Oryctolagus cuniculus: one gene and its partner. The protein of the gene in region 1 interacts with the protein of each later gene in a biochemical or structural test. Links are inferred from orthologs where the notes say so. Each region holds a gene or a part of one and is shown in the gene's direction. Other genes may lie near its edges.

The links.
Region 2: the proteins of MYH9 (region 1) and S100P interact in a biophysical measurement, tested with the Homo sapiens proteins (2 studies listed by IntAct). The link is inferred for Oryctolagus cuniculus from reciprocal best matches to the Homo sapiens genes MYH9 and S100P.

The regions. Positions count from the first base shown.
Region 1 is NC_091442.1:113,575,108-113,578,750, reverse strand, and holds part of MYH9 (myosin-9), read left to right. Parts: intron 1-467; coding exon 468-605; intron 606-933; coding exon 934-1,057; intron 1,058-1,947; coding exon 1,948-2,119; intron 2,120-3,205; coding exon 3,206-3,418; intron 3,419-3,643. UniProt on the Homo sapiens protein: Cellular myosin that appears to play a role in cytokinesis, cell shape, and specialized functions such as secretion and capping. Required for cortical actin clearance prior to oocyte exocytosis. Promotes cell motility in conjunction with S100A4.
Region 2 is NC_091433.1:3,378,760-3,382,502, reverse strand, and holds S100P (protein S100-P), read left to right. Parts: upstream 1-1,076; 5' UTR 1,077-1,258; coding exon 1,259-1,396; intron 1,397-3,345; coding exon 3,346-3,495; 3' UTR 3,496-3,670; downstream 3,671-3,743.

The DNA.
Region 1 (3,643 bases):
GGGCTTCTTGCCAGGCCCCACCGACTTAAGGCAGGAGTCCCCGCCAGGCCCTGACTCGGGACGGGAGTCGGGCTCCCCGCCAGGCCCCACCAACTCAGGACAGGAGTCCGGGTCTGCGTGCCCGCGCTGCCCATGGGCACAGCTGACGGGCCTCCCCCAGGGGCTGGCTGTTCCATCCGGGCCTCTCAGCTCTCCCTGCGCTCTGCCCTCCCCGGCATGGCAAAGGCCGTTCTGCCTCCCTGCAGCCCTTGCTCTGGGACCTGGGAGTGGAGGGCCGGCAGCCCTGTCCTCCACGCTCTGCCCAGTGGGAAGCTGGCTAAAGGGGACCCCCAGAGCAGTACTGCGGGCGTCTTGCCTGGCACCCCAGCTTCAGATGCGTGACCCCTCCTGCAGGGCTGGGCTGCATCCCGGCCAAGCTGCCGGGCTCGCAGAGCCACCGTTCCCACCCTCTCTCCGGCTCCCGGCAGGAACTGGAGGAGCAGCTGGAGGAGGAGGAGAGCGCCCGGCAGAAGCTGCAGCTGGAGAAGGTGACCACGGAGGCCAAGCTGAAGAAGCTGGAGGAGGAGCAGATCATCATGGAGGACCAGAACTGCAAGCTGGCCAAGGTGGGCCAGGCGCGCGTGGCTGCCCGGGCGGCCCCCTCCCGGAGCCACACGGGGGGTTCCCCCGAATGAGCGGCCCCAGGGAGCTTCGCCGTTGCCCCGCAGTCGAGCTCTTCGCTGGCTTTTGAGACGAGTCAGGCCCTCCGTGTGGCACTGTGCATCTGTCCCCTGCGGAGCCGGGGCGCCTTGGTGGCTTCGTGCGGCAGGTCCCGTGCTCCTGCAGCCAGGCCTCGCCTGTGCCTGCTCCTGCGCTCCTGGGCCGGCTGCGCTCTGAGGAGGGCTGCGGCGTCCTGTGCGCTCCCGCTCAGCCTGGCCCGCCCCCGCCCCTCAGGAGAAGAAGCTGCTGGAAGACAGGATAGCCGAGTTCACCACCAACCTCATGGAGGAGGAGGAGAAGTCCAAGAGCCTGGCCAAGCTCAAGAACAAGCACGAGGCGATGATCACAGACCTGGAAGGTGAGGGCGTGGCCTGGGCCGCCTGCCGGGGGCCCTGGCTCCCGTGACCCAGCGCTCGGCTGCTGCCGTGAGGCGCGAGATGGCCAGGGCACGCGGCAGCACCTGGTTGCTCTGGCTGGTTCCCAGGAATCGTGGTTCAGAGCAGACCCTTGTGTCGCCCGCTGTGCCGCACTCGAGCTGCTGGGGAGACCGCAGGAGATGGTGGTTGGATGTGGGCCAGGCTCGCCGGCCCTGCCTCGTTTCCTGTGTTCTGGGGACTGTGGCGGTCAGGAGGCCTCGGTAGAAGGCCTATGGCTGGCTGAGACCCCCAGCCCCTTGAGAGGCGTGGACAGCTCGGGGAGGGAGAGAGCCTGACACAGCTGGAGGAGCCCCGCGCCCGGCTGGTGAACGTGGGGTGGATATGGGCTGCCGGCCGGCGGCGTCCTCCCCAGCCTAGTGTCCCAGCCCTGCCAACCCCTCGTGTGTGTGTGTGTGTGACGGGGAGGAGTCTGCAGGACTTGGCCTTCCAAGGCGTCCCGGAGGGCAGGACCACCAGGTTGACAGACGTTTGACACCAGCAAGTGTTAAGGAAGCTGTAGATGAGTCAGAAACACACCCCCCCCCCCCACCTGCTGCGTGCCCCTGACCCAGCAGTGCCATCCGGCGCTCGGCCTTGTGCACTGAGAGTCACACACCTGTCCCCGTGGGCTGGAGAAGGAAGCTATGGTGTGCCCGCAGGGCAGAGCAGACAGGCCCGGCAGGCACCGGACCGCACGTGGCAGCGCTCTTGTCCCGCATCCAGGGGTCAGGTGTGACTGGCTGTGTGTCGCGAAGGCCTCTGGCCCTGGCTGTGTAAGTCGTTGAACACAGAAGAGCTGCAGCCGCTGAGGTCCCCCCACCCCCACCCCCAGAGCGCCTCCGCAGGGAGGAGAAGCAGCGGCAGGAGCTGGAGAAGACGCGCCGGAAGCTGGAGGGAGACTCCACCGACCTCAGCGACCAGATCGCCGAGCTGCAGGCGCAGATCGCCGAGCTCAAGATGCAGCTGGCCAAGAAGGAGGAGGAGCTGCAGGCCGCGCTGGCCAGGTGAGGCCCGGGCTCCCACGTGGCCGCCGGCCAGAGCACGCCCTGCCCAGGCTCGCCGCGCCAGCGAGCGCGAGCGTCCCCTCCGCTGCGGCTGCAGAAGTTCTCAGGCACCAGCGGCACAGGCTGGGGTGCTGGGGTGCTGGGGTGCTGGGCGGCTTTCTCCTTGGTAATCCAGAACCACCCACAGCTCTGTCTCCCGCCCACAATACTTTCTTTTTAAAAAAATTCTTGGCTATAGGCACACATTTGTTTAAAAAAGCAGACTTGATTTTTCTAGTTTTAGATTCATTGCAAGATTGAGCAGAACATACAGACTTCCCATCTAAACCCTGCCCGCCTCCCCCACGCACGGCCTCTGCCGATGTCAACACTCGGTGAACCTTCAGTGAGACAAAACCATGCAAAGCCCACAGCTCATTGCCTGCCACTTAGTTGCCGTCTGATGGACTGTAGCTTTTTAGAGTATTTCCTTTTTCGTGTAACATTTTAAAGTTAATTTTTTTGAAAATTTATTTACTTGAAAGCCAGCGTTAAACAGAGAAAGAGAGAGAGAGAGAGACAGGCAGACATAGAAGGAGAGGCAGAGAGAAAGGTCTTCCATCTGCTGGTTCACTCCCTAATGGCCACAACGGCCGAGGTGGGCCAGGCAGAGCCAAGCACCAGGAGCTGCTTCCTGGTCTCCCACACGGGTACACAGGCCCAGGCACCTGGGTCATCTTCCTCTGCTCCCTCGGGAACATTAGCAGGGAGTAATGGGTCAGGATTGGAGCAGCCAGGACTCTAACCAGCACCCCTGTGGGGTACTGGTGCTGCAGGCCATGGCTTTAGCCTGCTGCACCACAGGACAGTGCTGGCCCCATTGTGTGTGTGTGTGTGTGTGTGTGTGTGTGTGTCATTTGGAAGGTGAAGGGGTTTCTCTGAGGTGTTCCGGGTCTGGGATACCTCATGTTTCTGCTGAGAGCCACTGAACTGCCATGATGTACCTGCATAGACAGCGCTGGCTGCCCCGCTGCCCCTCTAAGGCCTCTCCTGCGGGCGGAGCCCTGCAGGGGACACGGCCTCAGGCTGACAGCGTCTCTCTGGCAGAGTGGAAGAAGAGGCTGCCCAGAAGAACATGGCCCTCAAGAAGATCCGGGAGCTGGAATCTCAGATCTCCGAGCTCCAGGAGGACCTGGAGTCCGAGCGCGCCTCCAGGAACAAGGCCGAGAAGCAGAAGCGGGACCTCGGGGAGGAGCTGGAGGCGCTGAAGACAGAGTTGGAGGACACCCTGGACTCCACTGCTGCGCAGCAGGAGCTCAGGTGTGGCCTGGGGCCGCCTGGCCTGGCCACGAGGGCGGGGGGCCCGGAGCAGTGCTGCACACGGCTCACCACGTCCAGAGAGCGCGGAGCCGGGCCTTCCTCGGCCGTTGCCCTCTGCCTAGCAGATCTGCGGGGAGCGTGGCTTTGGAGGGCGCAGCGAGGGTGGGCTCTGAGCCTGTACAAGGGCCTGTAGTAGCCGAGCAGGGGGCCGGTGGGGAGAGAAGC
Region 2 (3,743 bases), on another chromosome or scaffold:
CCGCTCTTAAGCGCTCAGACATGGGAAAGATGCCCCCCTCTCAGAATCCCACACAGATTACCAAACAGTGAATCTGTGAGTGATAAGAGCCTGACACTCCAGGCGTCTGTCTCACAGACAACAGTTGATACTCAGGGAGAGAGAGCTGGACAGTGAAAACAACAATGTAGCATACAAGGTAGCAAAGCCTAGTCAGCCACCCCCGCATACCCGTGGGATGAACAAAGAGGCCCTCTAGACAATAACTCATGTGAGGTCATCCCATCCGCACCCAGTGAGGATCCCCACATTTGTGGCAGTACTCAGACACCCCAAGCTCTTAGGGCAGCTGCTAGACCCTATGCCACCCACACGTTGAACTGTATGCAAAATCCAGGCCCTGGACTCCAGCGCCTGTAAAAAGGCTTCTGCTAACCAAAGGTCGAGGATATGCTTGTGTCTTTCCAGAAAATGCGGAACAGCCCATTTGGGTACCAGCCAGAAACACCAAGTCTGCAACTGACAGCCAATCAGAATCAGCTGCACAAGACCGAGACTCCGCCTTGTTAGCAGACGCACCTGCCCTATCATCCTACCCTGAGGAACTGCTCATAGCCACATCCGTTACTGTTTTGTACCCCACTAGCTCTGGTCAGCCACTCAAATGGCCCACAGCAATGGAATACCTCTGACCTGTTGAGAAATGAATGGCAACACCGCACCAGCTCACCCCTCCCGTCAAGCCCCGCCCCCAGCAGGAAGTGGCCGGAGCAGAAACTGACCCCTTATCAATAAAAGGCTGAGATAACAGGGCTCACAAGGGTGTGTGCCCACAGGAACGGGTGCTTGTGGCCTTTCCCAGGAACCTGCAGCCCGCGGCCCCCGGCTGACGCGAGCGCCGCTCTGAGCCCCGCAGCTGTGCCTCTAGTAAACCCTCTCTCATCCTGGCCTCGTCCCACAGGCTCTGTCACTTTGTCATTGCCACCTCTCGCTTTCCACTGGTGCTTCCTTGTGTCTGCCCAGCAGCACCTGCGCGGGCGAGGGCGGGTCCATTCGGTCACTACCCACTCGGTAAACACCGGGCTCCCACCCGCCCCAGCAGCCCCACCTGGGGAGGACAGCCCTGGAGCGCACGAGGACATCACCATCTGAGGTTGCCCAGTGGGGAGGGGCAGGGCCTGTTGATGCTTCCCACCCCTTGTGTCAGCAGGAGCCGGCTTCAAAAAGCACTGGCAGCCGCAGCCGCAGCTGCAGCCGCAGGAGGCTGGAGCCCAGCACCATGACGGAGCTGGAGACAGCCATGGGCATGATCATCGACGTCTTTGCCCGGTACGCGGGCGGCGAGGGCGACCCGCAGAGCCTCACCAAGGGGGAGCTCAGGGTGCTGATGGAGAAGGAACTCCCCGGCTTCCTGCAGGTGAGGCGGGGCCGCAGGGGCGGAGCCAAACCCCGGCAGGGGCTGAGGGGCTTGGGAGCAGGTAGGTGGGATCCTAAGTGCGGTATTCAGGTGGATCCTTGGCGTTAAGCCCCTACCCCAGGTTTGCCTGGAGGGAGAGGGACAGGGACAGCCACACACGGGCAGTGGGGCTGGGAGCAGAGTGGAAGCCAGGGCCATCCCTGCCCCTGCCACACCCAGTCGCCGTGTAGCTCGGTGTCGGGCTGGGGGAGGGCCTGGAGGGACCAGTGTCCTGTGCAAGCAGAGACCCCGCCCTCCTTGGCCTCCCCATTCTCTCCTCCCCCTACACACACACACACACACACACACATCTCATTTATTTACTTGAAAGGCGGAGTAACAGAGGGACACAAAGACAGAAATCTCTTTGCTGGTTCACTCCCCAGATGGCTGCAAGGGCAGGAGCTGGGCCAGGCCAAAGCCAGGAGCCGGGAACTCTGGGTCTCCCATGCGGGTGCAGGGGCCTAAGGACTCAGGACATCTTCCACTGCTTTCCCAGGCACATGAGCAGGGAGCTGGATGGGAAGTGGAGTAGCTGGGAATTGAACCAGCGCCCACATGGGATGTGCAGGTTGCAGACAGTCCGGGCCCTCCCCTTCCGTCTTCCCCCCCCCCCCAGCCCCATCAGACTCTGCCACCGAGGGTCCTGATGCTGATGCAGTGGAAGCCTGGATTTGGGACCTAGCTTGTGACCTTGGGCTCTTAGGGCATTGTTTCTGTTCTCCAGATGGGTAAACATGCGCACTCACCCTGTGCTGGGACTAAGAAACCAAGTGTGAGGATTTGTATTTGTGTGTGTGTGTGTGTGAGAGAGAGAGAGAGAGAGAGAGAAAGAGAGAGAGCGCGATCACGCCCCAAATGCCCACGATGGCTAGGGCTGGGCTAAAGCCAGGAGCCAGGAACTTAATCCAGGTGGAGTGGGAGCTCAGCCAGGTACCGCCGCCAGGTTTTCCCCTGTGGGATGCCTATCCCAGCCCTCTGGGATTTTGATCCAAAACATTGGGGCTGGGGGAGGGTAACTGCGGGTTTGGGCGGGGGTGGGGGCACGCTTTGAGCACCGAGGCAAAACCAGGGAATTCTCAAACTTGGTTTGCACCGGGGCCCCCTGGGGAGCCTAGAGAAGGCCACGGCTCGGCCGGGAAGCTGTGCGCTCAGTCCTGGGGCCTTGCTCCCTGGGTCCAGCCTAGGGGCGCTCACGAGCCTGGGGGCCCTGCTCCCCGGGTCCAGCCCAGGGGCGCTCACGAGCCTGGGGGCCCTGTTCCCGCGGGCAGCCCAGCGCCACCAGCAGAGGTGGAGCTGCACAGAGGCGCGGGGACTGAGCTCCAGGAACGTCAAGGACAGCCCTGCTGACAGCCACGAAGCGTCGGGACGGGGTGGGGGCGGCACACTGCTACCGCCTCCGCCTGCCGCTTCGTGCCCAGGCTGGGTCGGGCAGACGCTGGGCCTCCGCCGGGTTCAGCTGTGACCGGTGCCGGCTGAGCTCAGCGGCGCCCCCTGCTGCTGCTGCTGCGCACCTGGTCCCTTGCAGGCGATGGTGCACTTGTTCTTCAACAACCGGACCCGCGTGCTCCCCTCACCCGGGCCGCGACCCCACTGTCCCCTTCTCCCCGTGTGACCTGGGTCAGGTCCCGCGCATCCTCCTCCCTGGTGGCTGTGGGGATTACGGGTTTGCAGGCACAAGCGCACACCCCCGAGGCAGCCGTGCGCAGAGCGCGGAGCTGCACCGCTTCCCGGAAACCACTGCAGAGCGCGTCAGAAATCGGAGGGTCCCCTTCTGGGCACAGCAGTCGTGCTCCGGCGAACAAGGGCACCGGCCGGCGCACGGCCTCTCACAGCTTAGGGCGGGCGGGCACCGCCTCTCCTGGCCCCGCGCCACAGAGGCGGCATCGCCGGCCCCTCCTCTCTTCCAGAACGGGAAGGACAAGGATGCGGTGGACAAAATGATGAGGGACCTGGACGCCAACGGGGACGCCGAGGTGGACTTCAACGAGTTCGTGGTGTTTGTAGCTGCGCTCACGTCTGCCTGTCACAAGTACTTTGTGCAGGCAGGGCCCAAGTGACGGCCGCAGGCCTGGCCCAGCCACTGTGTGCGGGTCCTGCCGACTGCTGCCCGGCTGCACCTGCTGCTCCGCCCGAGTAACTAACGCAGGTTCGGGTCGCGATCCTCCACTCTGTCCCGGGAACCTCAGTCCCCCCCCCCCCCGTTCATGAAATAAACTCAGTACTGAATACTCACACGTGTCCCTGAATTACTCAGTGCCAGCCCACTGGGAGGAGATGGACGGTGGCCAACCAGGACCCGTGTCCT